7 linked regions of the Macaca mulatta genome follow. Each later gene encodes a partner of the first gene's protein in a complex. Links are inferred from orthologs where the notes say so. Each region holds a gene or a part of one and is shown in the gene's direction. Other genes may lie near its edges.

Region 1 (4,364 bases):
CACCATCTATCTATTCAACTACATAAGCCAGAAACCTATGAGTTACCTTTGATTCCTGTCTTCACTCACTAAAATCAACCCTTCACCAAGTTCCGCCCATTTTACCTCCTACATACCTCTAGAATCTGTCCAATTCTCTGCAGTTCCACCCACTTCTCAGTCCTCACTGACATCTCTGACCAGGATTACTGTATATCCTAAGTGGTCCACATGTATCGACTAGGGCTTCCCCAGCCCCAATCTGTTCACACCACTGAGCCTGAGAAATCAAGCCCCCTCCTCCACCACACCCCACCGGGGGAAGACGGCTCAGTGGTATCCCATCCGTTTTAAAATAAAGCTACAAATTCCTGCAAGGTCTGACCGCTATCACGTACAGCTTCATCTTGTACCATACTCCCCTTCATTCTCTTTGTATCAGTCACACTGGCTCTTTGTGCTTTTAGTCATTTTTCCTCCCAAGTGCCTCAGGGCTCTGAACAAGTAGTTCTCTACGGAAGGTTCTGCCTTTACCTCTTCACTTAATTAATTACAATTCTTCCTGCAGCTACCAGAGCAGGCATCTTTTCCTCTGAAAAACCTTCCTGCTTATTTCAGGCACTCAGCATCAAACAGCACTAGGAGGCATTTCCATGTATTAGTGAGGTCATTGTTTAACGTTTTCCCCACCAGACTTAAACGCCCTGAGAGTAGGGACCGTGTCTGGTTCACGACGTACCCCCAACGCGCTGCTAAATAAATATCAGCTGGACGACTGACGCAATGACCACGTTCATGGGCATGAGTCTCAAATTTCTCAACAAGACTGCGCTCTGGAGAAGGAGTCGGACATTTCCTTCATCATTGTCTCTCTCAGGGGGGCAGAGACTAGGCCCTAATCAAAAACTGCAAAATCAGTGGCAGAAACAAGTCAGCCTCCTCGGCCAAACGGGGCGCCGGAGGAAGTTGGGACACAGGCCTTTCTCCCTGGGAATGCCCGGCACAGGACTGGCCACGACGGGCGCTCTTGAAGAAGGGAGCCGCAGGGACTGGGTCTTGCCGCCAGAGACCCCCAAGGCTCCGCTCCCGCCCGGAAAGGGAGCCCATGCTACTACTTACCACAGCTGGGGACTCGGGGCCCCGCCTCCCACCCCTTGCTATCGGCACCCTCAGCTGAGAAGGGCAGCTTCAGACTGCACAACCGAGGCGTCGCCTTCAGACTCAGGCTGCCACCCACCCAGCTCTTCCTCATACGTACTAGGCGTCAGCTCCAGGCCCCCGAGTCCCGGCGCTGAACTAAACGCCGAGCCCAGTCAGCCAGCGCGTTTCCACCCACAAGACCCAGCGCGCCTAGGGAGGTCGCCAGCTCCGTCCACCAATCCTGGAATCGCACTCTCATGACGTCAGAAAGATATGCCCAATAACAAGAGACTATCCGAGGGCAGTGCAAATGGGTATATTGAAAACCGATTGGTTCTTCCAAGCTGGAAGTTGTGGAGGAAGGACTAAGCTGGAACCAATTGCGTGGCGCCTGAGGGGGGCAGCGCGGTCAGTGGCGGCGCTGAAGAGACCGGTTGCCGCCATGATAGAACAACAGAAGCGTAAGGGCCCAGAGTTGCCGCTGGTTCCAGTCAAGCGGCAGCGGCATGAGTTGCTACTGGGAGCGGGGTCGGGCCCGGGAGCCGGGCAGCAGCAGGCGACGCCGGGAGCTTTGCTGCAAGCGGTAAGTGAAGAAGCAGGCGGCCTTTGGCCCTCAGCTCATCTTCCTCCCCTCAGAGCGCTGTATCTGGTGACCCGGCACCGACCCTTCCCGCATTGCGGGGGGCAGAACGAGAGTTTCTACCTAGAGTTAAAGCACACCAACATTGTAAAAGCGCCTCATAGCCTGCGGATGCTCAGTACTTGTTCGCCCGTTTGGCGCTGGTTTTCAGCCTCTCGACTGCCTTGTGAGGTAGCGTTAGAATTAGCGTTGAGAACCTTGGGCTCACAACCCGGACCCGGGCTTAAGCATCCTGACTCTAACATGGATCTAGCGTAGAACAGAAATTCCGAAGACTTTGTAGAATGAATGAATGAGGGAGGGAGGAAAAGAGGGAAATGATTGGTGTTGGCTCGTTTTGGGACTTTGGGCAAGTTGCTTTTCCCTTTATTTCTCTGCACTAGTATTATTAACAACTGAATAGCAGCTAACATTCGTTGACTCTTGTACTAAGGTGTTTCGTATATGAAATTTCCATTGATCTTGGTAGCAGCCTGTTAGGAACGTTATTAACCCATTTTGCAGATGGAAAAGCAGACTTATCAAGCACGTGATAGAAACAGATGTTGAACTGAGAAACCATGCTCCTAACTATATTTTTTGTAAGATGGAAATAGTGATCACACTTCTAATGCCCTGTTTAGGCTCAGACGAGGAAATACGAGTGTCCTCTCATCTCCTCAATAAATCCTGCTGGCACCGTTCTCAAAATAGATCTAGAATTGCTACTTCTACCATTTCCATCACTGCCTCATGGCCTAAGCCGTTATTATCTCATCTGGCATTTTTGTAGTGGGACCCTAACTGGTCTTCCACTTTCTGCCTTTGTAGCAGCACCTGTTACCAAGCCAATAACCAAAGGAATCCTTCTAAACAACGGATCACATTACATTCTGCAGAAAACTTTCTGGTGGCTTTCTACTTCATCCAGAGTAAAAACCAAAATTCTTATAATTATTTGTCCTCTTTCCCTTTACCTCTCTGACCAATTTCTCATTGCTCACCCGGCTTCAGTTACACTCTCTTCCAAACCTCTGCCTCTGGACCTTTGCATTTGCTGTCCTCCCTATGGGATTGCTCTTCCCAAATGTTCACATGGTTTATTATTCAGCTCCTGCGAATATTTGCCCAAATATAATTTTTTCAGTGAGGGTTTTCCTGACCACCCTGTTTTAAATTGCAGTACCACATAATGTGGAACCCACATTGCTTCTCTCTCTCTCTCTCTCTCTCTCTCTCTCTCTCTCTCTCTCTCTTTTTTCTTTTGAGATAGAATCTCTCTGTGTTGACCACTGGCTCGCTGCATCCTCCGCCACCAGGGATCAAGTAATCCTTCTGCCTCAGCCTCCTGAATAGCTGGGACCACAGACACAGACCACCACACCTAATTGTATTGTATTTTTTTGTAGAGACAGGATTTCACTCCTGAGCTCAAGCAATCTGCACACCTTGGCCTCCCAAAGTGCTGAGATTACAGGCATGAGCCACCTTGCCCATCCCTTCTTTTTTTCTATAGCACATGACACCAAGTATATATTTTGCTTGTTTTCTCTCACCTTCTCTCCTCCCTTCCCCCTTTCCCACTGGAACAGCAAGCTCCATTGTTTATTTTGTTCATAGCTGTTTGCCCAGTGCCTAGCACATAACTTTTTATTTTTAAGATGGGATTTTGCTTTTGTCACCCAGGCTGGAGTGGAATGGCGCGATCTCAGCGCACTACAACCTCCGCCTCCCGGGTTCAAGCGATTCTCCTGCCTCAGCCTCCCGAGTGGCTGGAATTACAGGCGCCCACCACCACGCCTGGCTAGTTTTTGTGTTTTTTTAAGTACAGATGGGGTTTCACCATGTTGGTCAGGCTGGTCTCAAACTCTTAACCTCAAGTGATCTGCCCACCTCAGCCTCCCCAAGTGCTGGGATTACAGGTGTGAGCCACCGTGCCCAGCCTGCACATAACATTTTTTAAAACTAAATGAATGTGGCGGGGCTTGGTGGCGGGCACCTGTAATCCCAGCCACTCAGGAGGCTGATGCAGGAGAATCGCCTGAACCCAGGAGGCGGAGTTTGCAATGAGATGAGATCATGCCATTGTACTCCAGCCTGGGCAACAGAGCAAGACTCCTTCCCAATAAATAAATAAGTAAGAATGTGCTGGAAAGTGCTGAAGAGATTTGGGGATTATGGGTAGTATACTTCTCCCATTTGACAAGTGAGCATATCAGCCCATGTTTAGATGAATTGCCCAAGTGTCATCTTAGTGTCCAAGACCATAATCAAAACTACTTCACCCGTGCTGAGGATCCCTTCGCTATGAAAAAAATAAGAAAGAAAAATAGGCCATGCGCAGTGGCTCATGCCTGTAATCTCAGCACTCTGGGAGGCCAAGGCAGGCAGATCACTTGAGGCTGGGAGTTTGAGACCAGCCTGGCCAACATGGTGAAACCCCATCTCTACTAAAAATGCAAAAACTAGCTGGGCATGGTTGTGCATGCCTGTAATCTTGGCTGCTCGGGAGGCTGAGGCACCAGATCCCTTGAACCCAGAAAGCAGAGGTTGCAGTGAGCCGAGATCACGCCACTGCATGCCAACCTGGGTGACAGAGCAAGACTGTGTCTCAAAACACACACAC
Region 2 (4,320 bases), on another chromosome or scaffold:
AGGCAGGGAAATCGCTTGAGCCTGGGAGGTGGAGGTTGTGGTGAACTGAGATCGCACCATTGCACTCCAGTCTGGGCAACAGAGTGAGACCCTGTCTAAAAAAGAAAACAAAAGGAATTGTTTTAAAATTTTTACCGTTCTGAAAGCACATTGACATCCTTTGCATTTTTTTTTCTAATTATTTCACTTTGATTTGTAAATTCTCAACTAGATTGAGGGGCTGTATGGGTTACAATTCCTCTGCATCCTCCCCAATAAACTTGGTGGGAATTTCAGACTTTTTGTTTGTTTGTTTTTTCCGAGACGGAGTCTCGCTCTGTAACCCAGGCTGGAGTTCAGTGGCGCGATCTCGGCTCACTGCAACCTCCGCCTCCCGGGTTCAAGCGATTCTCCTGTCTCAGCCTCCCGAGTAGCTGGAACTACAGGTGCATGCCACCACGCCCAGCTAATTTTTGTACTTTTAGTAGAGACGCGGTTTCACCATGTTGGCCAGGCTGGCCTTGGACTCCTGGCCTTAAGCGATCCGCCCGCCTCAACCTCCCAAAAGGCTGCGATTCCAGGCGTGAGCTACCGCCCCCCCCCCCCCCCAATGAGCTTGATTCTTTCTGCTCCCCTGTGAACCCTACTGGTTGTCTTTTTTCCTGCTTTATCCCTCGTCCTCGGTAGACAGTGGGCACTCAATAAAGAATGGTTAAATGAATGAATGCGGCCGGGCGCGGTGGCTCAAGCCTGTAATCCCAGCACTTTGGGAGGCCGAGACGGGCGGATCACGAGGTCAGGAGATCGAGACCATCCTGGCTAACACGGTGAAACCCCGTCTCTACTAAAAAATACAAAAAACTAGCCGGGCGAGGCGGCGGGCGCCTGTAGTCCCAGCTACTTGGGAGGCTGAGGCAGGAGAATGGCGTGAACCCGGGAGGCGGAGCTTGCAGTGAGCTGAGATCCGGCCACTGCACTCCAGCCTGGGCGACAGAGTGAGACTCCGTCTCAAAAAAAAAAAAAAAAAAAAAAAAAAAAAAAAAAGAATGAATGCATGAACAAATGACCGTCCTGGAGCTAGTACTGCATTGCACGTATACATTGATGACAACAGACATCGTACAATGCGCAATCTTGGCAAATTTATTAAAAGCTTCCAGACTTCGGTCTCTCGCAGGGCGACGCCGGGAGCCTATCACACACTGAGGTCTGTCGGGGGCCTCAGGAACAGCCTCGGAAACGTGGGAGGCGGGGCTTCCCCGACCACACCCCCTTGTATTCAAAGCCTTTCCGCCTGTGGGCCCGCCTCCTCGGCGCAGTGTGCCACTCTAATTGGCCATCTTACCAATCCATCTGAGCACCTCGGCGCCGATTGGATCAACTGCTGAAGTCGGGTTGCGCACTTTCCGGCGCTGGGAACGCGGAGCGGACGCACACTGGCCGCCATTGCGCTCCGGAGAAAGCGGCCCCCTGTGTGAGGGGTTGTGGGGTGCGTGGCAGGCGTTTAAGGCCGGGCTGCGGGAGGCGTGGTCGGGTCGGGCTGAGTGACCGAAGGGGTTAGGCCGGGCGGGGCTGGATGCACTCAGTGTGGCGGGATTGCAGGCCCGGGTCCCCGGACGCCTTTCTGCTGCGCTTCTTGTGGGCCCGGGCCTGTGGTTAGTGAATTTTTCTGTCCCGCCGCTGTCCAGATTCTCCGGGTATGGCCGGAGTATTTCCTTACCGAGGGCCGGGTAACCCGGTGCCCGGCCCTCTAGCCCCGCTACCGGACTACATGTCGGAGGAGAAGCTGCAGGAGAAAGGTGAGTCGAGTGTGGAGCGGCGCGCGAGCCGGAGGCGGGGCGGGTGTTCGCGCGCGCAGGTGGCTGGGGACCCTCCCCGTTTGGGCAGCTCCCGAGGTGACAACTCCCTTGTTAGCCCCATTTAACTTTTTATCAAGTCATTTTAAGCGCGTGTTATCTGCAAGCGCTGATCCAGTAGTGATGGAGACAAAATTCCTGTCCTTACGGGGTTTAAATTACAGCGGGAGAGAAAGACAGTAACAAAACCTTGAGGATCTGTAATAAAAATGTCAGGCCGGGCGCAGTGGCTCACACCTGTGATCCCAGCACTTTGGGAGACCCAGGCGGGCGGATCACCTGAGGTCAGGAGTTCGAGACCAGCCTGGCCAACATTGTGAAACCCCATCTCTACTAAAAATACAAAAATTAGTCGTGTGTGGTGGCGCGTGTCTATAATCCCAGCTACTGGGGAGGCTGAGGCAGGAGAATGGCTTGAACCCGGGAGGCGGAGGTTGTAGTGAGCCGAGATCGCTCCATTGCCCTCCAACCTGGGTAACAGAGCAAAACAACGTCTCAAAAAAAAAAAAAAAAAAGTCAGATAGTAATAAATGTGATGAAGGGAAAAACATAGTAAAGTGGTAAGGGAATTGGCAAGGAGTGTTGCTTCCTGCTGGATGCCTGCTCCTCTGTCACACTCACTGACAGGAGCTTACCCTAGGGCAAGAGGTGAAGAGGATTAGGCTGAGGGTGTGCAGTCCTTTAAACTGAGGTGCCTTTGTAGCCCGAAAATGGCAGCAATTGCAGGCGAAGCGCTATGCAGAAAAGCGGAAGTTTGGGTTTGTGGATGCCCAGAAGGAAGACATGCCCCCGGAACATGTCAGGAAGATCATTCGAGACCATGGAGACATGACCAACAGAAAGTTCCGCCATGACAAAAGGGTTTACTTGGGGTAAGGAACATCCTGAAATAACTTCATTTGGAATTTGGTTCTTTTCCCTTTTCCCTGTCCCACAGTCTTGGATAGATGCTCTGTCATTTTGGAACAGGACGCTGCTTTGACAGCTCATCTTGGTGGATATAAGAGAAAGGAGAAAACCAGTAGGAGTCTCTGATAATTTCTACATCTTCCACTTACGCAGTCTGTTTCCCTTCTGTTCCTGATCTGGGCCTGGGACTTTAATTTGTCCTGTTGATGCTGTTATAAGATATCCCTGTCGTTGAGCTGTTTGAAGCCCAGAGTGGGAGACTGTGCATAGTGGCAGCCTGTCACTCCTCAGGGACCTGAATTCTGTGTTTAGGGTATTTAATTTCAGAGGTATCCCTACTGCTGTTTTTCTGTGGCTGTAAACTGGGTGGGTACAGGTACAGATGTCTTAGCAGATTCCTGCTCTATTTGGACACAAAAACGTTTGCCGTGTAATGAACTGGAAGTTTTGTTTATTTCAAAAAATAGTTTGAGAACTGTGCTGGCTGCTTGGGGTATAGTAGCGAGCAGAGGGTAACAATCTCCGCCTTTCTGCAGTGTGCAGTCTAGTGGCATGACAGACATGAGACAACTGGTGATAGTGAAGTATGGTGAATACTTTATTATGATTTATGAGAAGATACTGAGGGAATAGGATGTGAGACAGCCGCAAAGCTGTCTCCAGAGGGACAGCTGTTGATTTAGAGGAGCTGATACCAGCATTGTGGGACTATGACATTTAAGAAGAGTGCTGAGGCTGGGCGCGGTGGCTCAAGCCTGTAATCCCAGCACTTTGGGAGGCCGAGACGGGCGGATCACGAGGTCAGGAGATCAAGACCATCCTGGCTAACACGGTGAAACCCCGTCTCTACTAAAAAATACAAAAAAAAAAAACTAGCCGGGCGAGGTGGCAGGCGCCTGTAGTCCCAGCTACTCGGGAGGCTGAGGCAGGAGAATGGTGTAAACTCGGGCGGCGGAGCTTGCAGTGAGCTGAGATCCGGCCACTGCACTCCAGCTTGGGCGACAGAGCGAGACTCCGTCTCAAAAAAAAAAAAAAAAAAAGAAGAGTGCTGCAAGATGAAGTTGTAGAGGGAGAGGCAGGGTTTCTGGTTAGGAAGGGCCTATGGGCTAAGTCTGGGAGTTTGGATTGTAAGGTAGGATTTACTGTGGAACATGAACGTGTGGCTTCTCTGCATGGGACAGGTAGCAGAACACCTCGTCATTTCTAATAGCCTTCTCTTTTTCTAATGTGCCAGTGCCCTAAAGTACATGCCCCACGCAGTCCTCAAACTCCTGGAGAACATGCCTATGCCTTGGGAGCAGATTCGGGATGTGCCTGTGCTGTACCACATCACTGGAGCCATTTCCTTCGTCAATGAGATTCCCTGGGTTATTGAACCTGTCTACATCTCCCAGTGGGGGTGAGAAAGGCTGAAATATGGTGGGCAGTGGTGGTGGTGGTTGGGGGCAGTGGGTAGAAATGGTTGTGTGATGTTCTTGCCTTCTAGGTCAATGTGGATTATGATGCGCCGAGAAAAAAGAGATAGGAGGCATTTCAAGAGGATGCGTTTTCCCCCTTTTGATGATGAGGAGCCGCC
Region 3 (4,394 bases), on another chromosome or scaffold:
TCCATGCCATAGTAAACTATATGGGTATTCAGGGAGGTAAAGAAAGAAAGGCTTTAAGGGAAAAAATAGGATTACATAATTGTTTTGAGATAATTATCCTTAGGTAGAAGAATTAGTAACAAGGGTGACCAGTTCAACGTTGGACAGGAAAGTTGCTGGGCAGATGGCCATTCAAAAGTATGTTTTGTGCAAGGTTGGGGTTTTTGCAGAATCTTTGTGATAGTTTTCATTATCAGATATTTATGCATGAGAACCCTCTTGTCATGGTTTTCTCCGACTCTGTCCGGGTTTTTTTGTTCTGTTTTTTTAACACAAGTGACTCCAATTAGATTAACAACTTTTGCATTCTCAGGACACTCACAGCCTAAGCCACCTCTCTACCCCTACGTTGTCAAACGCGATGGGAGTGTAGTAAGGCCACCTCCTTCCCTGGTGCTTTGTTCCCTGTAACCACGAGTAGTAATCCATCACACACCTGCTTCCCGAGAATCCTCGAGAAGGAATCGGCCGAAGGGCTTCAGCATCCAGAAAGCCCCGAAAGCGCCACAAACAAGGCTCTTCCTCCGGCTCCCCGGTGCTGCCCCGGGCGCGCGCCATCCACCCGGCTGACAAAAAGCACCAGGACATGACCCCGTCCCCTTTGATTTCTGTCCAGAGGTGGCGGACTCACCTCGGGGCTGGGATAGAGGACGGGTCGGGGTCGCTACGCTTTTTGCAAAAGGGTCAAAAGACTGATGGGGGTGGGTAAGGAGCTGACGCCCGCGCTCTAAAGGGGCGCCCCGCCAGCCATGGGGATCCTGGAGGTGCTTCTGCCTCGACGTCCTCCCAACATGGGTGCTGCCAGACTCCGTTGCGCTCCTGAGTTGCTCCTCACGTCATTCCAGCCGCCCGACATGGGTGCCTCACTTTCGGCTTCTGGGCCACGTCGGGGCGGCGGAGGACCCGGGGGGCCGGGCGGGAGAGTGGGAAAGGTGGGGCGGGAAAGCCGAGAGAGGCCCTCACCCGCCTTCCTGTTGGCGGGGGCGGCAAGTGGGTTTCTTTCTTGCGTTCAGATTTTGCAATAATTTGCAGCTGGACATAGGATATGGGAGACAAGGCTGCTCCTCGCAGTACACCCACCCACGCCCATACCTCCCTCGGCGAAGCGTGTCGCAGCGGGTTCCAGCGCAGGCTAAAGAGCTTCCGCAGCCAGAAAACCGAAAGCGCGCCGCGCACGCGCGCCAAGGAGTTCGGCGACGGCCCCGCCCTTCGCCTGCCTCGTCCCGCCCCTTCCGCGCCTTGTAGGGTGGGGACAGCGCGGCTTCCGCCGGGAGCCTGGAACCGAGCCCGGCAGCCGGGGGCTGGGCGCCAGTACCCACTCCGCCAGCCCCAGCCCGCAGACGGTTCCCTGTCTCCCGCGCCCCAATTTCGATTTTCAGACCCAACTCCTACAGGATTCTGAGACCCCGGCCCATCTCCCCACATTCCATTTCCAGCTGCAAATTACTGCAGAGTCTGAACCCAAGAAAGAAACCCGTTTGCCGTCCCCGCGTCTTCCCTCGCCAGACAGGTGGAGAGTGGGTGAGGGTCTCGCTCGGCTTTCCCCCTGCACCTTTCCCACCCGCCCGCCCGTCCCTGGGGGTCCTCCGTCACGCCGGCCATGGCCCAGAAGCCGAAGTTGGACCCCCACGTCGGGCGTTTGGGATACCTGCAGGCGCTGGTCACGGAATTCCAGGAGACCCAGAGCCAAGGTGAGAGCCACGGTGGGACCAGGTGACAGGGTCGGCTGTGACCGCCGCCCGGACCTGGCTCCAGTGCCGCTTTCCCGTTGCAGACGCCAAGGAGCAAGTCCTCGCCAACCTCGCCAACTTCGCTTATGACCCCAGCAACTACGAGTATCTGCGGCAGCTGCAGGTCCTGGATTTATTTCTCGATTCGCTGTCGGAGGAGAACGAGACCCTGGTGGAGTTTGCTATTGGTAAGGGCTGGGCCCGTTCGCTAGATGGCTAAATGGGCCGGGGTGAGGTAAGTGAGTTACAAGTGAGTCCTTGGGGCCTGGCGTGGTGGCTCACACATGTAATCCCAGCACTTTGGGAAGCCGAGGCGGGGGGATCACCTGAGGTCAGGAGTTCGAGACCAGCCTGGCCAACATGGCAAAACCTCGTCTCTACTAAAAGTACAAAAATTAGCTGGGCATGGTGGCGAGTGCCTGTAATCCCAGCTAAGCGGGAGCAAAAATTAGCCGCACACAGTGGTGTGCACCTGTAGGCCCAGCTACTCTGGAGGCCGAAGCAGGAGGATTGCTTGAGTCCGGGAGGCAGAGGCCAAAGTGAGCTGAGACTGCGCCACTGCACTCCAGCCTGGGCGACGGAGTGAGACCATGTCTCAAAAAAAGATGTTTTAAAAAGAGCAGTTTTGTAGCCAGGCGCGGTGGCACACGCCTGTAATCCCAGCACTTTGGGAGCCCGAGGCAGGCGGATCACCTGAGATCAGGAGTTCGAGACCAGTCTGGCCAACATGATGAAACCCCGTCTCTAACTAAAAATACAAAAATTAGCCGGGCGTGGCGGGCGCCTGTAATCCCAGCTACTCGGGAGGCTGAGGCAGGAGAATCACTTGAACCCGGTAGGCAGAGGTTGCTGTGAGCCGAGATGGCGCCACTGCACCCCAGCCTGGGCAACAGCGAGACTCCGTCTCAAAAAAAAAAACAACAACAATTTCAGGTGGGTGAGGTGGCTCACACCTGTAATGTCAGCACTTTGGGCGGCCGAAGCAGGCAGATCACTTGAGTCCCGGAGTTCAAGACCGGCCTGGCAAAAGCCCATCTCTGCTAAAAAAAAAAAAAAAAAAAAAAAAATTAGTCTGGCGTGGTGTCCCAGCTACTCAGGAGGCTGAGGTGGGAGGATTGCTTGAGCCTGGAGGACGAGGCTGCAGTGAGCTGGGATTGGGCCACTGTACTCCAGCCTGGGTGACAGAACGAGAATCTGTCTTAGAAACAAAAGTAACTCATATTTAGTGTTTTCATATCAGGAGAAGCAGAGATGGCTTGCAGTCTGTAACTTACGGCTTCTTTTGTAGTTATGATCTTAAGACCTATTGATTTATTCACTGGGCAGATATTTACTGGGCATGTACCGTATATGTAAACTACTGCTCTAAATGCTGGAGTATGGTGAACAAGTTAGGGGAAGTGTTTGCCCCTCAGGAGCTTACATTCTAGTAGGGGGGACAGGTGGTTAGCAAACAAAAAAGATGATGCTCAGCAGCAAATAAATGGGGTGATGAGAAACAGCAGTAGAAGGTGGTGGTTACTTCTGTTTTGGCCATCATGAGAAAGGCATTTTAGCAGGGACACAGCATGGGCAAAGGCCTTAAAACAGGAAGGAGCCAGAAGGAAGATGAATGTGGCAGGATCGTTATAGTGAAGTGGAGAATGGCACAAAAAGAGGATAGAGAGTTAAGCAGCACCAGAGCTTGCCGGAGCTTAGATCTAGGCCGTGGGAAATAGTTTGAAGCAGACAAAATTTTGAGAACAAACAAAAATCCCTTTTTCAAGCCATGCACAGTGCTCATCTGTAGCCCCAGATAGGAGGATCGCTTGAGCCCAGGAGTTTGAGGCTGTAGTGTGCTACGATTGCATGATTGCACCTGTAAATAGCCACCGCACTCCAGCCTGGGCAACACGCGCGTGATCACCTGGCTGAAGTCTTGTCAGGCTTCTCCACTGTAAAATTACTCTTTCTTTCCCCTCTTTACGTATTATGTATTATACCCATTGGAAGGAAGTCACTACATAAATTATCTTAAATCTTTTTCTTTTTTTTGAGATAGGGTCTCACTGTGTCACTTAGGCTGGAGTACAGTGGTGTGATCATAGTTCACCATAAATTTAAACTTCTGGGCTCTAGCAGTCTTCCTGCCTTAGCCTCCCGAGTAGCTGTGACTACAGGTGGACACCACCATGCCCGGCTTTTTTTTGTTTTTAATTTGTTTTCGAGAGGATCTCACTGTGTTGCCCAGACTGGTCTCGAACTCGGCTTTTTTTTTTTTTTTTTTTAATTTGTTGTCGACACACGGTCTCACCGTCTTGCCCAGACTGGTCTTGAACTCCTGGCCCCAAGAGATAAATCGCTTGTAACCCTAAACAGACCCTCATTTCATAACACTGATTCTTGAAGGCCCCAACCAGGAATGCAAATGTTCCCCCTTCCGGTTTGTCTCATTGCCTCTTTGTGGTTTGTTTCTTTATCCCCTTTATTTCCTATAATCTAGAAATTGGGTTGAAAGTCTTGATAGGATCAAGTAACACATTTTATTTTATTTTATTTTATTTATTTATTTATTTATTTATTTTTTGAGACGGAGTTCGCTCTGTCGCCCAGGCTGGAGTGCAGTGGCGCGATCTCGGCTCACTG
Region 4 (4,235 bases), on another chromosome or scaffold:
GGGTCCTCTTTCTAATTTGCGGCCTCCAGCATCGGAGACTTCTAGGATAAATCCAAGGCTCAGAAAAAGTCCTTCCAAGACCATCCGGTCCAGCCTACCTCAAACTTGATGGGGAAATCGAGGCCCAGTGAGAGAGAGGGGAGATGGAGGAAGGGACTCTTCCAAATAGTTGACTAAAGGCGTAGAACCCTGAACCCCCTCGTCTTACTATTTCAGACCTTTCCTCATAAAAGGAAGCTACTGTTGTAAAACCAGCCCGAAGCCTTATTCCTTTGGTAAGGGTCATGCGCTCAGATGACGAAGACTGTGGCATCTGCGGTTAGGGCCGTACGCTAAAGCCAAGTCAACCCTGGGTAACAGCGGGGAGGGAATGAGGGTCCCCGCGGTGCCCGGGTCCCCGCCCAGCCTCACCCGCAGCTCCCGGCCCAGCGGCAGCTCCTCAGTCCTGCGGTGCCAGCCGCTCCAAATGGTGTAGAACGCCGAGCCCACGGCCAGCGCCAGCAACAGGGGCAAGAGCCGAACCCGCGGTAGCAGGCGGCGCTTCGGGGGCAAGAGTGGCTCCATAACGCCACGTTCCCCTAGCCGCAGGCGGGGCCGCCCGCGGCCCCCGGAACGCATGGCAGCTATGCCCTGAAACCTGTACCAGACCACGATTGAGTTTAGGCCCAGCCAAGTTCCACCCCATGGAATCAGTGGGCCAATAAGCAACAGCAGCGGCTGCACCTGCCCACCCCACAGCGAGCAGCGAAACCAATAAGAGCTACGGTCCTGAGGACACGCCTCCCGGCCTCCCTTGGGTATTGGGGTTGGTTCTTCTGAGAATGGCACGACCCAAAAGGGAGCGCAAAAGAGATAGGCTCCGCCTTAGCGGAGGGGGAAAGCCAATGAGCAGCGTTTGATCGTGGAAAATATTCAATCTCTCGGGCGCAGGTCCATGCCCCTCCCGGATGTAGGCAGGGGATTGGTGGCGCAGGGTCGGAAAGATCAGTAGATACGTCAATAACCCGTCCCAGAGGGAAGAGGGGCGGTGCCTGTCTCCGAAGCGAGGAGCGGATTGGCTTCAGCGGAGGCCGCGCCCCCGAAGTCACGGCCGGCGGGCATTTGGAAATAGTTTGTCATTTCCCTCCTTCAACCTGTACCATTCTTCAACGAAACGGTTTGAATCAGACCGCCTTTCCTTTTGTCTTCATTGTCATAAACATCTGCCCCGTGTGGTTCTGACTGGCCTCGAACCCCTATTCGAGGCTTTTATTCTTTCATTGTGCACCGTTGGTGGGCAATGCTATGGCAACAGGCCACGCCTCCACTTACTGGTTGGCTTTGCGCAGGCGCCAACGGAAGTGGGTCGCAGGAAGAGGAAGTCCCGCCTCTCTCGCCTCAGGCTGCAGCAACGCGGAGGAAACGGGAGTGAACGGAGAGCTTAGTGACCATCATGTGAGGCCGGGCTAGGCTTAGGCGGCGGGAAGGAGGTTGAGGGTGGAAATTTTGACCTATTGAGGGTGGGAAGGGTTGAGCAGAGAGCGGGGTGGGGGACAGGGGCAGATGTTTTAGGGATGGAGCGTCCTGCTTTTCTCCTGATGAGTTTGAGAACGGGCGTGGGGCCTTTGACGCATCGTGACTTCGGGAGAGGGGACAGCTTTATCAGATAACGCGCTGGGCTGGGCGCGGGGACTCATGCCTGTGATCCCAGCATTTTAGTAGGCCAAGGCGGGAGCATCGCTAGAACACAGGAGTTTCGAGACTACTCTAGGCAACATAGCGAGACCCCCGTCTCTACAAAAAAAAATTTTTTTTAATTATGAAAAACATATTTTAAACGATAACGGAGGGGGGTCCTAGATAATTAGTCCTATTGAAGTGAATGTTAAGGGGCAGCGATTTTACGAATACTGGGGGAGGCCGGGCGCGGTGGCTCAGGTTTGTAAATCCCGGCACTTTGGGAGGCCGAGGCGGGCAGATCACCTGAGGTCAGGAGTTTGAGACCAGCCTGGCCATTGTGGTGAAACCCCGTGTCTACCAAAAATACAAAAATTAGCCAGAAGTAGTGTCGGGCCCCTGTAATTCCAGCTACTTGGGAGGCTGAGGCCGGAGAATCGCTTGAACCCGGGAGACGGAGGTTGCAGTGAGCCGAGATTGCACCACTGCACACTTCCAGCCTGAGCGAAGAGTAAGACTCCATCTCAAAACGAAACAAAAGAAATCAAAACGAATACTGGGGAAGGGAAGTTAGGACTTTTAGAAATAATGATTTGAAATAAGGGACTTCTCCTGATCATTTGAGCTGGAGACAGATGCGTTTTCGACCTAATTCACAACTTAAAGGGATAACGAGTGATTGGCATGATTTTGCTCATTTATTAGTGCACCAAATATTACATTGAATGTTTATGTATCAGACACTGCTTAAGCCACATAGGATACATCAGTGAATGAAACCTTTTGTTCCCAAGGAAAAAAAAAATCTTTTTTTTTTTTTCCCGAGACATAGCCTTGCTCTGTTGCTCAGGCTGGAGTGCAATGGTGCGATCTCAGCTCACTGCAACCTCTGCCTCCCGAGTTGAAGCAATTCTCCTGCCTCAGCCTCCCGAGTTGCTAGGATTACAGGCACCCACCACCATGCCCAGCTGACTTTTATATTTTTAGTAGAGACCAGGTTTCGCCATGTTGGCCAACCTGGTCTCAAACTCCTGACCTCGAATGATCCACCTGCCTCGACCTTCCAAAGTGCTGGCATTACAGGCGTGAGCCACCGTGCCTGGCCGGGCGTGAGCCACCATGCCTGGCCGGGGTTTTACTTTCTACACTGAGATGGCGGGGGGGCATGGGAGGATTTTCTTTTGTTTGTTTGAGATGGAATCTCGCTCTGTCACCCAGATTGGAGTGTAGTAGCACGATCTCTGTCTCCTGGGTTCAAGTGATCTTCTTGCCTCAGCCTCCCAAGTAGCTAGGATTACAAGCATGCGCCACCATGCCCAGCGACTTTTTTTTTGGGGGTGGGGGATGGAGTCTTACTCTGTAACCCAAGCTGGAGTGCAGTGGTGTAATCTTGGCTCACTGCAACCTTCGCTGCTGGGGCTACAGCGATTCTCCTGCGTCATCCTCCTAAGTAGCTGGGACTAGAGGCATGCGCCACCACACCTCGTTAATTTTTTTGTATTTTTAGTAGAGACAGGGTTTCACCATGTTGCCCTGGGTGGTCTGGAACTCCTGAGCTCAGGCGATCCACCCCCCTTGGCCTCCCAAAGTGCTGGGATTACAGGCGTGAGCCATCACATGCAGCCTAATTTTTGTATTTTCTAATTTGTATTTATTTATTTTTTGAGACAGAGTCTCGCTCTGTTGCCCAGGCTGGAGTGCAGTGGCATGATCTCGCTTCACTGCAATCTCCGACTCCTGAGCTCAAGCGATTCTTCTGCCAGAACCTACCAAGTAGCTGAGATTACAGGCGTGCACCACCACGCCTGGCTAATTTTTTGTTGTTGTTTTTGTTTTGTTTGTATTTTTAGTAGAGATGGGTTTTCACCGTGTTGGCCAGGCTGGTCTCGAACTCCTGACGTCAAGTGATCCACCCGCCTTGTGAATCATCACCAGCTGGATGCCTAACAGACATTTTCTTTTTTTTTCTTTTCTTTTTTTTTTTTTTTTTTTTTGAGACGGAGTCTTGCTCTGTTGCCAGGGTGGAGTGCAGTGGCGCGATCTCAGCTCACCGCAACCTCTGCACCACAAAAGTGCTAGGATTACAGGCATGAGCTACCGTACCCAGCCCCTGGGAGGGCTTTGAAGAGTGACATGTTATGATTTAGGTTTTAGCACAGCCCCTCAGACCACTCTGTGGAGAACAGACTGTCAGGGAACATGGGTGGAGGCAGAGAGACCGGAAAGATTCCAGGTCAGAGATGACAGAGGCTGAGGCCATGGTAAGAAATGGCCACTTCCTACAGATTTATTGTAGGATGCAAGGGAAAAAGAGGAATCAAGTTGACAAAGAGTTTTTGCCCAGAGAACTAGAAGGCAGATGGGGAACACTGTGGATAGGGTAGGCTTCGGTGGTTGGGTGATCTGGATCCCGACCTGAGACATGCAGAGTTGAAAATGTCTGGCTGAGCGCGGTGGCTCACACCTGTAATCTCAGCACTTCGGGAGGTCGAGGCGGGTGGATCACGAGGTCAGGAAATCAAGACCATCCTGGCCAACGTGGTGAAACCCACTGTCTACTAAAAATACAAAAATTAGCT
Region 5 (3,289 bases), on another chromosome or scaffold:
ACACTTTAGGATTAAGTTGGTGACCGTGACTTCTTACACTATTTTAACCAACATGAATTTCTTTTCCTTTTTAAAAAAAAGAAAAAAAAAAGAAATATCTAGTTGTTGCCTTTTGGGACACTAAGAAACAACAGCTGTAGATCACACGTGGACAATCACAAATTCAAAAAGTAAATAAATTTATACTCTGTACTCTAGAGATGATGTGAAGGGCTAAGAGGGGAAAATGAATCCTGATGTAAAACACAAGACCTTGCAGTAAATTCCTAAACGCTTGCAAGAGAAAGTGGGGAATAAAAAAGTCAAGGGTGGCCGGGAGCGGCGGCTCACGCCTGTAATCCCAGCACTTTGGGAGGTCAAGGCGGGTGGATCACCTGAGGTCAGAAGTTCGGGACCAGCCTCGCCAACATGATGAAACCCCGTCTCTACCAAAATAAATAAATAAATAGCCGGGCGTGGTCCCGGCTACTCAGGAGGGTGAGGCAGGAAAATCTTTTTTTTTTTTTTTTTTTTTTTTTGAGACGGAGTTTCGCCCTTGTTGCCCAGGCTGGAGTGCAGTGTCGCGATCTCGGCTCACTGCAACCTCCGCCTCCTGGGTTCAAGCGATTCTCCTGCCTCAGCCTCCCGAGTAGCTGGGATCACAGGCATGCGCCACCACGCTCCACTAATTTTGTATTTTTAGTAGAGATGGGGTTTCCCCATGTTGGTCAGGCTGGTATCGAACTCCCGACCTCAGGTGATCCGCCCGCCTCGGTCTCCCAAAGTGCTGGGATTACAGGCGTGAGCCACCGCGCCCAGCCAGGAGAATCTCTTGAACCCGGAAGGCGGAGGTTGCAGTGAGGGATTCTCAGGCTTGAGCCACCTCTTCTAATCTACCTTTCCGGCCCCCGCGTCGCTACTCTGCCCTAAGGCCCACTTTGATACACCCAGAAACGCTGTTTTTCACCAGAGCAGGATGTGGTTTCTACCGCGCTTCGTTTCGCAAGCCTCGGCTTCTAGGCAACCGGAAGAAAATAGAGGGCCGGCCTCGGAGAGAGGGTCCGCAGGCTGACGGACTCTCTGCCCACCATCCTTTTCAGAAATCAGCCAGTGGAGTCAGCCCCCGGGCCCAGGAAGCCGCCTTACCTTGCCCCCGTTAGTGAACCTCTGGATGTACGCAGTAGCCAGTCCTGGAATAAACAAGCACACGCCCATGGCGGCGAGTCCGGGGAGAATCTCGAACCACATCTCTGCCCCGTTATCTAGGCCAAAACCCTACTTCTGGGTCCTTGAAAGGTGACCGGGCTTCGGCTCCCTTCCCAGTAAGCCCCGCGGCCGCCCGCGAGCGGGGCGGTGCCACGTACGGCTCCGGAGGAAGCGACGGGATCTGCCAGGGCTCAAGAGAGGCTGGCGCTCGCGCTCTCGCAGTTCTCTTCCGTCAGTGTCTTTTGCTTCGACTCCCGGCGGAGCGCGCGACGTGGAGTAACGCGCAGAGGCCAAGTGCAACCCAGGCAGCGACGGCCGTTTCGGAGCTCGGGACTCTAAAATGGCAGAGCAGTTTTCTCCAGGGAAGACGGCGGATCAGGTGTGCACCTTCCTTTTCAAAAAGCCTGGGCGGAAAGGGGCTGCTGGACGCAGAAAGCGCCCGGCCTGCGACCCAGAGCCCGGAGACAGCGGCAGCAGTAGCGACGAAGGCTGCACTGTGGTTCGACCGGAAAAGAAGCGGGCGACTCACAATCCAATGATACAGAAGACTCGTGACAGTGGTAAACAGAAGGCAGCTTACGGCGACTTGAGCAGCGAGGAGGAGGAGGAAAATGAGCCCGAGAGTCTCGGCGTGGTTTATAAATCCACCCGCTCGGCGAAACCCGTGGGACCAGAGGATATGGGGGCGACAGCTGTCTATGAGCTGGACACAGAGAAAGAGCGCGATGCACAAGCCATCTTTGAGCGCAGCCAGAAGATCCAGGAGGAGCTGAGGGGCAAGGAGGATGACAAGATCTATCGGGGAATCAACAATTATCAGAAATACATGAAGCCCAAGGATACGTCTATGGGCAATGCCTCTTCCGGGATGGTGAGGAAGGGCCCCATCCGAGCGCCCGAGCATCTACGTGCCACGGTGCGCTGGGATTACCAGCCCGACATCTGTAAGGACTACAAAGAGACTGGCTTCTGCGGCTTCGGAGACAGCTGCAAATTCCTCCATGACCGTTCAGATTACAAGCATGGGTGGCAGATCGAACGTGAGCTTGATGAGGGTCGCTATGGTGTCTATGAGGATGAAAACTATGAAGTGGGAAGCGATGATGAGGAAATACCATTCAAGTGTTTCATCTGTCGCCAGAGCTTCCAAAACCCAGTTGTCACCAAGTGCAGGCATTATTTCTGCGAGAGCTGTGCACTGCAGCATTTCCGCACCACCCCGCGCTGCTATGTCTGTGACCAGCAGACCAATGGCGTCTTCAATCCAGCGAAAGAATTGATTGCTAAACTAGAGAAGCATCGAGCTACAGGAGAGGGTGGTGGTGCTTCCGACTTGCCAGAAGACCCCGATGAGGATCCAATTCCCGTTACTTAGCTGTCTGATAATTCTTAAATTTAAAAAATAAATATTTTGTTCTTTTGGAAGTCTTAATTCGTGTCCTTCCTTTGTAGAGACAGTGACAGAGAAGGCGGGTGGTGAAGTAGGGTCCTGGATTAAAAACCTCAAGGTAGGTATAATCAGGATTTTTAGCCCTAGGATAACCATTTTGCCTGTGTTTCTTTTCAGAACATTTTGGCATCAATTATAGGGGTGGGAGTAGTTTGAGAAAAGAGCTATAATTTGCTTGAAGTAGCCAAAGCTATGACGAAAGTAAGAACTCTGAGCCTGTTTATCATATCACATTTCTGTATCACTTAATGGTTTACAAAGTACTTTCATGCATTCTTTCTCTTGGGAGCCTGTACTACAAAATATACCGGAGCCAAGGTGTTGGGGAGAGGGGTTGCGTTTGGGGAATTGGTAGCTAGTACCACAGGCTTCACATATGGGAAATGTTCCTTGCTGTCTGGGTTATTTATTTATTTATTTATTTATTTATTTATTTTTGAGACGGAGTCTCGCTCTGTTGTCCAGGCTGGAGTGCAATGGCGCTATCTCAGCTCACTGCAACCTCCGCCTCCCGGGTTCAAGCGATTCCCCTGCCTCAGCCTCCCGCGTAGCTGAGACTACAGGCGCTTGCCACCACGCCCAGCTAATTTTTTGTATTTTTAGTAGAGACGGGGTTTCACCATATTAGCCAGGATGGTCTCCATCGCCTGAACT
Region 6 (4,299 bases), on another chromosome or scaffold:
AGGATGCCTGCACTCGCTTTTTTACCGTTATGTCTTTAGACACCGACTCGCGGAGCAAACACGCAAACGCACGAGCCGGCTTTACTAAGCTCCAGGCACGTAGAGCGAGCAGAGGTTTCTCTGTCGCCCGGGGCTACCGCCTCCCCCGGAAAGAGGCACGGGGCGGACCGTGGGCGCGGGTGGGCAGGGAAGCCCGGGCGGTGGCACCTCAGGTGAGACCCGCAGTCTCTCCGGCGAAAGCAGCCCCGGGGCGGTCCCTGCAGCCGAACCCCGGGCGCGCCCGCCGCCGTCTCCCTCTGCACCCAGCCCGGCTGGCGGGTGGGCGGTGGGCGCTCGGGAAACCCGCGGATGGGGGTGGGGGCCGGGGCGGGGGAGGCGCGCCCATCCATCCCCGTCACCTATGCGGGCCACACACCCCTCGGTCTGCTCCGGCCGGTGAGGAAGAGTTCCTCTCCCAGCACCCCCTCCCCGAAAAAAGCAATTCCTCAGGGACTCGCGCTCACCGTGAAATCTTGGGGGCTCTCGCTTACCCCTTCTTCATGCTTCGGCAGCGGTCGCCGGTCCCCCTCGGCTCGCGGGACTCCACCTAGGGCTCCCAGGAGGGTCGGGCTCTGGGGCGGAACCCGCTCAGGACAGCGGCCGAGGCGCCAGGCCACTGGGAACGCCGCCTGGGGCGCCCACCGGCCGCCGGACCCACCGTGTGCTCGACGCGCGAGTGAACAACACCGCGAGCTGCCGCTCCCCCCGCCCCCTCCCCGCGCGAGACGCTCCACAACCGGACGCAGGGACCCGCGCCAGAAGCAGGGGGGACCGCGGGACTCTCTCCGGCTATGGTCCCATCCTTGCCCCGTGCCCCAGGAGCTATTCCCGGCCAGTCAGAGGTCTCAAAACTTCAGATTCTCACTTTCCTCTTCACCCTCGAGTGCCCAGGTGCAGTCGAGGTGGGAAACCCAGCCTCGGCCCACTCCTCCATCGGTGGGGCCGAAGCTCGCTCTTCCCCCCTTTCCTGAGGTTCTGTGGTATTGCCCAATCCTCAGTTTGGGGGAGGGGGACGGAGAGAACAGTGCTTGGCTAGGGAATGAGGGAAGATGACAGCCAATTGAATGGAACATCCATTCGGGGGCGGGGTCAAGGAGGGACCCGCCCCCGTCCCGCCCCCTCGTTCCAAACTACACTTCCCATTGTGCCCTCTGGTGCTTCCTGCCGCGCTGCACGCTGGGAGTGCAGGACCGCGAGGCCTCAAGGTATTTTGGAACTCGTATTCTTTAGTCAACTAGGTCCTGAAAGTTATAAGCTATTATAATTCTCTCTTTTTCCCTAGATAAACTTTTTTAAGCTCTCATTTCGACAGTAGTTATTCTAATAATAATTAGCTTGTTGTTTTAAAATGTAAGAAATTATTTCTTAGCAAAGAAAGTTAATGATGTGTTCCATGGCAATCTGTCAGGACCTGGGAGCCTCCTCTTCTTCCGCCCTGACAGGGTCCCCGCAGAAGATTTGTTGCCGTCATGTCGGCTGCGATTGCAGCTCTGGCCGCTTCCTACGGTTCGGGTTCAGGGTCCGAATCGGACTCGGACAGTGAGAGCAGTCGATGTCCGCTGCCAGCCGCCGACTCCCTCATGCACTTGACTAAATCGCCTTCAGCCAAGCCGTCTCTAGCAGTGGCAGTGGACTCGGCTCCGGAGGTGGCAGTTAAGGTAAGCACCTTTGCTACTGATGCGGTGTGGGAATTGTTGGCTTCAGCTCCAAAACTGCCAGCCGCTTGTTAGGTCCCGGCTTACCTCATTGCTCAGAGATAAGTTGCTAACGTTTGAATTTCTTCTCCTTCCCACATGCATCCTCGGGAGAAGCAGAATTGGAAGTTCGGAATAGCCCCCCGATGCTCTCTGCCCTTACCTCCCGCCATCAGAAAGCAAGTGGAAAGAGGGGGTGAAATTTGAATTTGTGAATTAGGGACATAGCCTGTAAAGTGCAGATGTAATCTCGGAACATAAATAAAATTAGATCAGGACTTCCCAAACTAGAGTATTGTACCTTCACTTGAAGTGAGCAGTGGCCTCGATTTGTTTTATTTTTGAAAAACTAGGTTCTAATCCTGGCACCACCACTTATGTGAACTTGGGCAAGTTATGCAGCCTCCTCTCTTTCCTCACCTGTACAAGCGGAGATCATTTTCAAAACACCTGTCTACATGAGAAGATGAGTGTGAAAATTGAGTGAAATTACACAAATAAAGCATATAGCACAGAGCCTGGTAACTAGTGAGAGTGCAGTAAATGTTTTATGATTATGTATGTTAATACAGTGAGAAAAAGGCCTTGGATTTGAGAAACAGCTGCATGATCTCAATGGAGGAAGCTGATTCAGGCAAGAGTTTCCAGGCAAAGGTGACAGGCAAGCCTGAGAAGGCAAAGAGCTTAGTGTGTTTGAAGAACTGAGGAAAAGCTGATGTGTCTAGAGCCTGATGAGAGCATCTACCAATTGATAGTGTAGGCCCAGTAGAGCCCGAGGTAGGTGATCAGCTCAAGATGTGAAGATGGGAGGCGGTGTCCAAAAATTCCTTTGTATCATGTCCCCAAGTCTAGTTTAATGACTTAAGGAGTGTTTTACAGATTTTTAACAAGCTGTCTGTGAATTTTACTTTTTAAAAATGGGCATCTGGCATGAAAGAATGCTTAGAATCCTAACTTCCTATCAAAACAAAACTTTCCAAACTTACGCCCCTCCAGTAACCTCCTGAGTCTTCTCCTTTCACAGCTCAGCTTTTTGGAGCTCTCTTTTTGTCTTCATCTCATTTTCTCCTCAACCCGATGCAGTCTGGCCCTACCCTCTTGGGAAACTGTCTGTGAGTGATGTCCCAGGCCTTGCAGTTGTCAGGTTCAGCCATCTGACTTAAATGTCTGCATCAAATGACACTGTTCATTAGTTCCTCTTTCTTGAAACTTTCTCTCCGTTTCGCTTCCATGGGGCTCTACTCAGCATTCTGTTCCAATTATTTTACTCTTTTCAATACTGGTGTTTCCTAGGACTCTGCTCTTGGTCCTCTTTGCATTCCACATATTCTTCCATACCTTCAACCTCAGTCTGTGCTGCCCCTAGCTCAAGGTGAACACCGTGAAATGGTTAGCACAGGCTCTGGAATTAAGACTGTAATTCAAATCCTGCCTCCAGCACTTACCCACCTGGGGACCTTGGATAAGCTGCTTAAATGCTCAGCACCTAATTTTTACTGATCTGTAAAGTAGGAATAACAGTAGTACCGATCTAACAGAATTATAAGAATTGCCATAAAAGATGTAAAGCCCTTTTAACAGTGCCACATGTTTGCTATCCTTTTATTTCCAGTTCTATCCTCCTTGCTAGCTTACAACCTTGAGAGGTATATAAAAATCTCCCACTGTAATTGTACATTTGTTTCTTGCAGGTTGGCACTCAGCCACCTCCAGTTCAGTGTGTTGAAAAATTATTTTCTTTCCCTCAAAATCCATTTCTGTTTTCCCCATTTTGATCTATGATCCCACGATCCACCCACTAGTTCAAGCCAAGAACAAAGGAGGTATCCTTTTCTCTTCCTTCTTCCTCAGCCCCTGAAGCTAGTCATTCAATTGATTCTAACATTTCTGTTTCATTAATTTATCTCATATCAACTCCTTCCTCACTATTTTCACTGGTGCAGGCTTCATATCTTCCTTATTTCTCCCAGGAGTTATTCTTTTCTTTCTCTTTCAGCCTCTTCTTTTGGATAGTGGGTCCTGTCTACTTTAACTCAATGATATTCATCAAATCTCTCTCTTCTGCTGCCACTGCTTAGTTCAGATTCTCATCATTTCTCTTCAGACAGTTGTAGCTTTCTAACTGATATTTCTACTTCTTCCTTTCTTGTCTCCCAGTGTTATACCCCATTCTTTTCTCCACAGGGCACCTAGAATGATCTTTGTAAATTCCACTTGCGTCCTATCACTTCCCTGCCCAAAGACACCGTATTGTCCAGTGGGTAATTTCTAAGTTTTTTTGGTAGCATGTGAGGGCTGCTATTCTCCCATGCTGAACTCTTTACAAAGCCCTGAAAGCCAAATTTTCTTTCTTCCTCTGAAGATTTTGCCCACGCTAGTCTTTCTGCCTGGAAATCCCTTGCCTAGTGCCTCCTTCCCCCATTCCAAACACTATGGTCCTTCAGTCTCACTGCGCGTTTCCTCCTATTCTACCTTAGCCCCTTTATCATATCTTAACTATAGCACTTAGCACATTGCCGTGACTTGTTCATCTTTTTCTTTGCCCTGGACTGTGAGACCCTGGGGT
Region 7 (4,341 bases), on another chromosome or scaffold:
CCTAACACATACTCATATCCCAACACACGCTCACATCCTAACACATGTTGAGTTGTGCAAGGCAGGGAGCCACAGACTGAGCAACCCTTGGGTGAGGGGAGGGGTTTCAGGACCGATTGGGATTGTGCGCACTGGGCTTTTTTTTTTTTTTTTTTTTTTTTTTTGAGACGGAGTCTCGCTCTGCTGCCCAGGCTGGAGTGCAGTGGCGTGATCTCGGCTCACTGCAAGCTCCGCCTCCCGGGTTCACACCATTCTCCTGCCTCAGCCTCCTGAGTACCTGGGACTACAGGCGCGCGCCACCACACCCAGCTAATTTTTGTATTTTTAGTAGAGACGGGGTTTTACCATATTGGCCAGGATGGTCTCGATCTCTTGACCTTGTGATTCGCCTGCCTCGGCCTCCCAAAGTGCTAGGATTACAGGCGTGAGCCACCGCGCCCGGCCTGCACTGGGGTTTTAAGTCCCAGTAGTTTTTTTTAGGGCTCCTCTCCTCAAGAAAAAAACTCATACACACAGATGTGCCACATTTTGCATTCAATTTCAGGGGTTCCAAGGATACACTGACGCTCATGTGGCGCTCCTTCAGTCTTAACAGTTCACGGGGCGCGGGTTTAAAAAATCCAATCCAGGGCTGGGCGCAGGGGCGCATGCCTGTAATCTCAGCATTTCGGGAGGCCAAGGCGGGTGGATAGCCTGGCTTCAGGAGTTCGAGACACCCCCCGCCCATCTACAAAAAAATACAAAAATTAAAGGGGCGTGGTAGCGTTCATTCGTAGTAGTCCCAGCTAGTGGGAAGGCTGAGGGGGTAGGATCACTTGAGCGCGGGAGGTCGAGGCTGCAGTGCGCCGTGATCGCGCCACTGCACTCCAGCCTGAGCAACAGAGTGAGATCCTATCTCAAGGGAAAAAAACAAAACAAAAAAACCAGGGAACGTGGGAAGGAAGCGTTCCCTAACGATACTAGTTATAGCGGGTCGGAAACTGGGCTATGGAATTTGAGATAACGGGAAAACAACACCCGTTGAAGCCACGACCCTAGGAGTCCACTAAGCGAGCGCCCATTGTAGGAGGGAGGTGTCTACGGAAAGGCCGTGAGGTAGTGAACACCCCGTTGTCGGTGAAGTGCAAGCGCAGGGATGCCGGGGAGGAACTTCCAGCCACGAAGACACTGGCTTAATGCCCTCTAAGTCCTTCCAGTTCTGGGATCCCATCTCCGGGTTAATTCCGCTTCCCTTGAGTAGCGAATGCACAACGGGACCACTGGCTCAAAGAACCCACCCGACCCGCGACGGCGCGAATGTGCAGTGGAGCAGTGATCCCGGTCTTCCCATGAGCCTCTGGGGCCGGCTCCAGGGCGAGCGACGGAAGCAGCCGCTCTTAGTTTCCGGCAACACGACAGCGGCTGCCGAGCGACCCGGAAGTATTCCCATTTTGCGTTGTCTGGGCTCGGCGGTAGCCGGGCTTGGAGTGGACGTGCCACTATGGGGTCGTCCAAGAAGCACCGCGGAGAGAAGGAGGCGACCGGGACGACGGCGGCGGCCGGCACCGGGGGCGCCACCGAGCAGCCGCCGCGGCACCGGGAACACAAAAAACACAAGCACCGGAGTGGCGGCAGTGGCGGTAGCGGTGGCGAACGACGGAAGCGGAGCCGGGAACGTGGGGGCGAGCGCGGGAGCGGGCGGCGCGGGGCCGAAGCTGAGGCCCGGAGCAGCACGCACGGGCGGGAGCGCAGCCAGGCAGAGCCCTCGGAGCGGCGTGTGAAGCGGGAGAAACGCGATGACGGCTATGAGGCCGGTGAGGAGGCGGGGCCTGCGCAGGGGGCGGGTCGGGCAGGGGTCCCAGAACGTGCGGGTCTGGGTGTGCGCACAGTGTCAGCAAAGCTCTCCGGATCGGGAAACCCCCAGACTGTCTATATCAACTCTTATTAAATAGTCTTTCTACGGGATCCCATGAGCCCAGGAGTTAGAGGCTGCAGTGTGCTGCGATCCCGCCAGTGCACTGCAGCCTGGGCAACAAAGCGAGACTCTGTCTCAAAAAAGCTTTTCTACGATTGTTTGGGATTAGAGGTAGACTGTCTCCACCTGGCTCCTTGAGGATAGAGAGCTTCCGTTTTTCTCAGTTGTCTGGTACAGTCACAGATTCTCAATAAATGTGTTGAATGAATGAATGAAGTAGTGTCAGCATATGCAGAGACAAGAAAAACCTGGTATTTGACGAATCGTATTGGACGAATCGTGTAGGGCTCCTGGTAGAGAAATGAAGGAGTAAGATAGGCAGGGATGTGAACGCAAAGGATCCTGTACTGTAGGCTCTGTTAAGAAATGTAGATTGTCTTGACAAGGTAGTAGGGAGCCTTGGCTGTGAGTTGAGGAGTGAGTTGCTCAGATCCGTATTTTGTAAACATTACTGGATTGAGAACTTAGTCAAAGGTAGTCAGGATTGGAGACCAGGAAATCAGGAGGGCTACAGACCAGGTGAGGGCTGATGGTGGCCTGCACCAAGGCAGCAGCAGTGGAGTGGAGAGAAGTGGACAGGTTGGAGAGGTGTTTTAGAGGAGGAATGAACAGAACTCAGTACTTGTATGAGGGTGGGAAGGAGAAGGAATTGAGGATGACTCCTTGAATTTTGGCTTGAGCAGCCAGATAGGTAGTGGGTGTCATTTCTACTGAAATTGAGGAGTAGGGAAGAGAAGGAGATTTGGAGCAGGGTGGGGGAAGATAATTCACTTTTGGGGTTGTCAAGGTTTATGTGCATAGGGAAATCCAGAGTTTGGACTGGATAAAGCCATTGGGAGTCAGTATCTGGGTGGCCAGTGAAGCCCGCGAAAGAATGCGACATGAGAAGCCGGGGTCAGGAATAGAACCTGAGAAATGCCCTTATGTTAGTAGTAGGCAGAGAAAGATGTTACCAAAAAAAGGAGATAGAGTAACCAAAGAGGCAGGAAAACCTTTGTGTCATGGGAACTTTGGAAATAGAGTATTGTTAGAAGGAGGGAGTGATCAGCAGTCCCATATACCACAGGAGATCAAGGAAAACCAGAACTGAAAAGAACCCGTTAGATTAGAAATGAAGGAGACTGGTGACTTTGGGGAGCCTGGAGAGATTGGGATCCAGGGCCCAGGTGGAGAGTGGAGCCTTTAAGATACAGGATGGGAATGCAGGAAAGGAAGAGGTGTTTTTTTTTTTTTTTTGAGACAAAGTCTTGCTCCATCTCTTTAAGAGACCTTGTCTCTTAAAAAAAAAAAATGAAAGAAAAAAGGAGAGGGCAGAATGGTGACTGTAGCAGTTTGGATCTCTTGGGTCAGGATAGGAAGGTGCGCAGAAGAGGCAGGGCTCTGAGACTGGACTCGGGCAGAGGAGCTGCTGGGGAGCTTGGGTGGAAGAAGCTGCTGTTTTCTGGTGTTTCATCAGGCCCAGGTGCTGGTGAGGGGCCCTCATCTTTGATCCTGCAGTTGGAGGCACTGATGCTGGCTTGTTGGCCCTATGTTCAGCTCCTGAGCCATGCTTCTTCTTCTTCCAGCTGCCAGCTCCAAAACTAGCTCAGGCGATGCCTCCTCACTCAGCATTGAGGAGACCAAGTGAGTACTGTCTCCCTTGTTTCCACTTTGTTTTTCTAAGATAGGTGGCTCTGGGGCCAGCCCTGGGGAGGCTTTCTCACATGAAAGTGTGCTAATTGGAGTTGGAAAGGTTGTATAGATCATTTTAGCCAACAGTAGAGTTATAGAAGAGGAAACTAATACCTAAGAGTAAAGTGGCATTCACCGGTTAGATGCAGACCAGGCTGGCGCCCATGTTTCCTGCTTTGGAGGCCAGGGCCCTTCCCAGTGTCCTAGGCTTCCTGGGGCAGACCGTGTGTTTGGGACCGCTCACTCCCACCCTGTTTCTTCTCCTGTCTGTTTGGAAATGCACATGGCACCCTGTGTCTTTGATAGCCCGTAACACTTGTATCCTTTGATAGCCCCTAACACTTGTATCTCTTGTTCTCAGTAAACTCCGGGCAAAGTTGGGGCTGAAACCCTTGGAGGTCAATGCCATCAAGAAGGGTGAGCATGGGGCTGAGGATGGGGTTTGGGGGAGAGGGCCATCTGAAGGGGTCTTTGAAGAAGGTGGGATTAGAGGGCAGGTTCAGCACGGTTTAGTGGTCTTACACATGCATATTTGCCGGAAGGCACGAGGTCCCTTCTTGCTGTTCTAATGTGGACCTGGGGCTCTGCTTGTTTTCTGAGTTAGAGCCGTGGCCTTCGCATACTCACTCTGGCTGTGAGGTGTTGTTAGATGGACTGGAAGATGTGCACGCTTGCTGCAAACTGGGCTGTGCGGGGGTGGGTCTGTTGTTTTTCTT

The links.
Region 2: SNRNP40 (region 1) and PRPF8 share a complex: the UniProt entries of both Homo sapiens proteins name them as parts of the U4/U6-U5 tri-snRNP complex. The link is inferred for Macaca mulatta from reciprocal best matches to the Homo sapiens genes SNRNP40 and PRPF8.
Region 3: SNRNP40 (region 1) and ARMC7 share a complex: the UniProt entries of both Homo sapiens proteins name them as parts of the minor spliceosome. The link is inferred for Macaca mulatta from reciprocal best matches to the Homo sapiens genes SNRNP40 and ARMC7.
Region 4: SNRNP40 (region 1) and SNRPD2 share a complex: the UniProt entries of both Homo sapiens proteins name them as parts of the U4/U6-U5 tri-snRNP complex. The link is inferred for Macaca mulatta from reciprocal best matches to the Homo sapiens genes SNRNP40 and SNRPD2.
Region 5: SNRNP40 (region 1) and RNF113A share a complex: the UniProt entries of both Homo sapiens proteins name them as parts of the pre-catalytic and catalytic spliceosome complex. The link is inferred for Macaca mulatta from reciprocal best matches to the Homo sapiens genes SNRNP40 and RNF113A.
Region 6: SNRNP40 (region 1) and CDC40 share a complex: the UniProt entries of both Homo sapiens proteins name them as parts of the postcatalytic spliceosome P complex. The link is inferred for Macaca mulatta from reciprocal best matches to the Homo sapiens genes SNRNP40 and CDC40.
Region 7: SNRNP40 (region 1) and SART1 share a complex: the UniProt entries of both Homo sapiens proteins name them as parts of the U4/U6-U5 tri-snRNP complex. The link is inferred for Macaca mulatta from reciprocal best matches to the Homo sapiens genes SNRNP40 and SART1.

The regions. Positions count from the first base shown.
Region 1 is NC_133406.1:209,565,206-209,569,569, forward strand, and holds the start of SNRNP40 (U5 small nuclear ribonucleoprotein 40 kDa protein), read left to right. Parts: upstream 1-1,549; 5' UTR 1,550-1,561; coding exon 1,562-1,702; intron 1,703-4,364. Other genes in the region: ZCCHC17 (zinc finger CCHC domain-containing protein 17), read right to left, coding at 552-563, 1,112-1,231. UniProt on the Homo sapiens protein: Required for pre-mRNA splicing as component of the activated spliceosome. Component of the U5 small nuclear ribonucleoprotein (snRNP) complex and the U4/U6-U5 tri-snRNP complex, building blocks of the spliceosome.
Region 2 is NC_133421.1:3,240,367-3,244,686, reverse strand, and holds the start of PRPF8 (pre-mRNA-processing-splicing factor 8), read left to right. Parts: upstream 1-1,396; 5' UTR 1,397-1,468; intron 1,469-1,667; 5' UTR 1,668-1,678; coding exon 1,679-1,778; intron 1,779-2,538; coding exon 2,539-2,707; intron 2,708-3,978; coding exon 3,979-4,143; intron 4,144-4,230; coding exon 4,231-4,320. UniProt on the Homo sapiens protein: Plays a role in pre-mRNA splicing as core component of precatalytic, catalytic and postcatalytic spliceosomal complexes, both of the predominant U2-type spliceosome and the minor U12-type spliceosome.
Region 3 is NC_133421.1:84,791,066-84,795,459, forward strand, and holds the start of ARMC7 (armadillo repeat-containing protein 7), read left to right. Parts: upstream 1-1,566; 5' UTR 1,567-1,639; coding exon 1,640-1,730; intron 1,731-1,813; coding exon 1,814-1,957; coding exon of another isoform or gene 1,958-1,989; exon of another isoform or gene 1,990-2,361; intron 2,362-2,662; exon of another isoform or gene 2,663-2,696; intron 2,697-4,394. UniProt on the Homo sapiens protein: As a component of the minor spliceosome, involved in the splicing of U12-type introns in pre-mRNAs.
Region 4 is NC_133424.1:58,226,501-58,230,735, reverse strand, and holds the start of SNRPD2 (small nuclear ribonucleoprotein Sm D2), read left to right. Parts: upstream 1-1,328; 5' UTR 1,329-1,432; coding exon 1,433-1,434; exon of another isoform or gene 1,435-2,167; intron 2,168-2,643; exon of another isoform or gene 2,644-2,739; intron 2,740-3,259; exon of another isoform or gene 3,260-3,576; intron 3,577-3,803; exon of another isoform or gene 3,804-3,917; intron 3,918-4,235. Other genes in the region: QPCTL (glutaminyl-peptide cyclotransferase-like protein), read right to left, coding at 412-618. UniProt on the Homo sapiens protein: Plays a role in pre-mRNA splicing as a core component of the spliceosomal U1, U2, U4 and U5 small nuclear ribonucleoproteins (snRNPs), the building blocks of the spliceosome.
Region 5 is NC_133426.1:126,364,677-126,367,965, reverse strand, and holds RNF113A (E3 ubiquitin-protein ligase RNF113A), read left to right. Parts: upstream 1-1,310; 5' UTR 1,311-1,525; coding exon 1,526-2,560; 3' UTR 2,561-2,667; downstream 2,668-3,289. UniProt on the Homo sapiens protein: Required for pre-mRNA splicing as component of the spliceosome. As a component of the minor spliceosome, involved in the splicing of U12-type introns in pre-mRNAs. E3 ubiquitin-protein ligase that catalyzes the transfer of ubiquitin onto target proteins.
Region 6 is NC_133409.1:15,228,405-15,232,703, forward strand, and holds the start of CDC40 (pre-mRNA-processing factor 17), read left to right. Parts: upstream 1-1,490; 5' UTR 1,491-1,508; coding exon 1,509-1,697; intron 1,698-4,299. UniProt on the Homo sapiens protein: Required for pre-mRNA splicing as component of the activated spliceosome. Plays an important role in embryonic brain development; this function does not require proline isomerization.
Region 7 is NC_133419.1:8,455,577-8,459,917, reverse strand, and holds the start of SART1 (U4/U6.U5 tri-snRNP-associated protein 1), read left to right. Parts: upstream 1-1,433; 5' UTR 1,434-1,480; coding exon 1,481-1,793; intron 1,794-3,519; coding exon 3,520-3,577; intron 3,578-3,986; coding exon 3,987-4,042; intron 4,043-4,341. UniProt on the Homo sapiens protein: Plays a role in mRNA splicing as a component of the U4/U6-U5 tri-snRNP, one of the building blocks of the spliceosome. May also bind to DNA.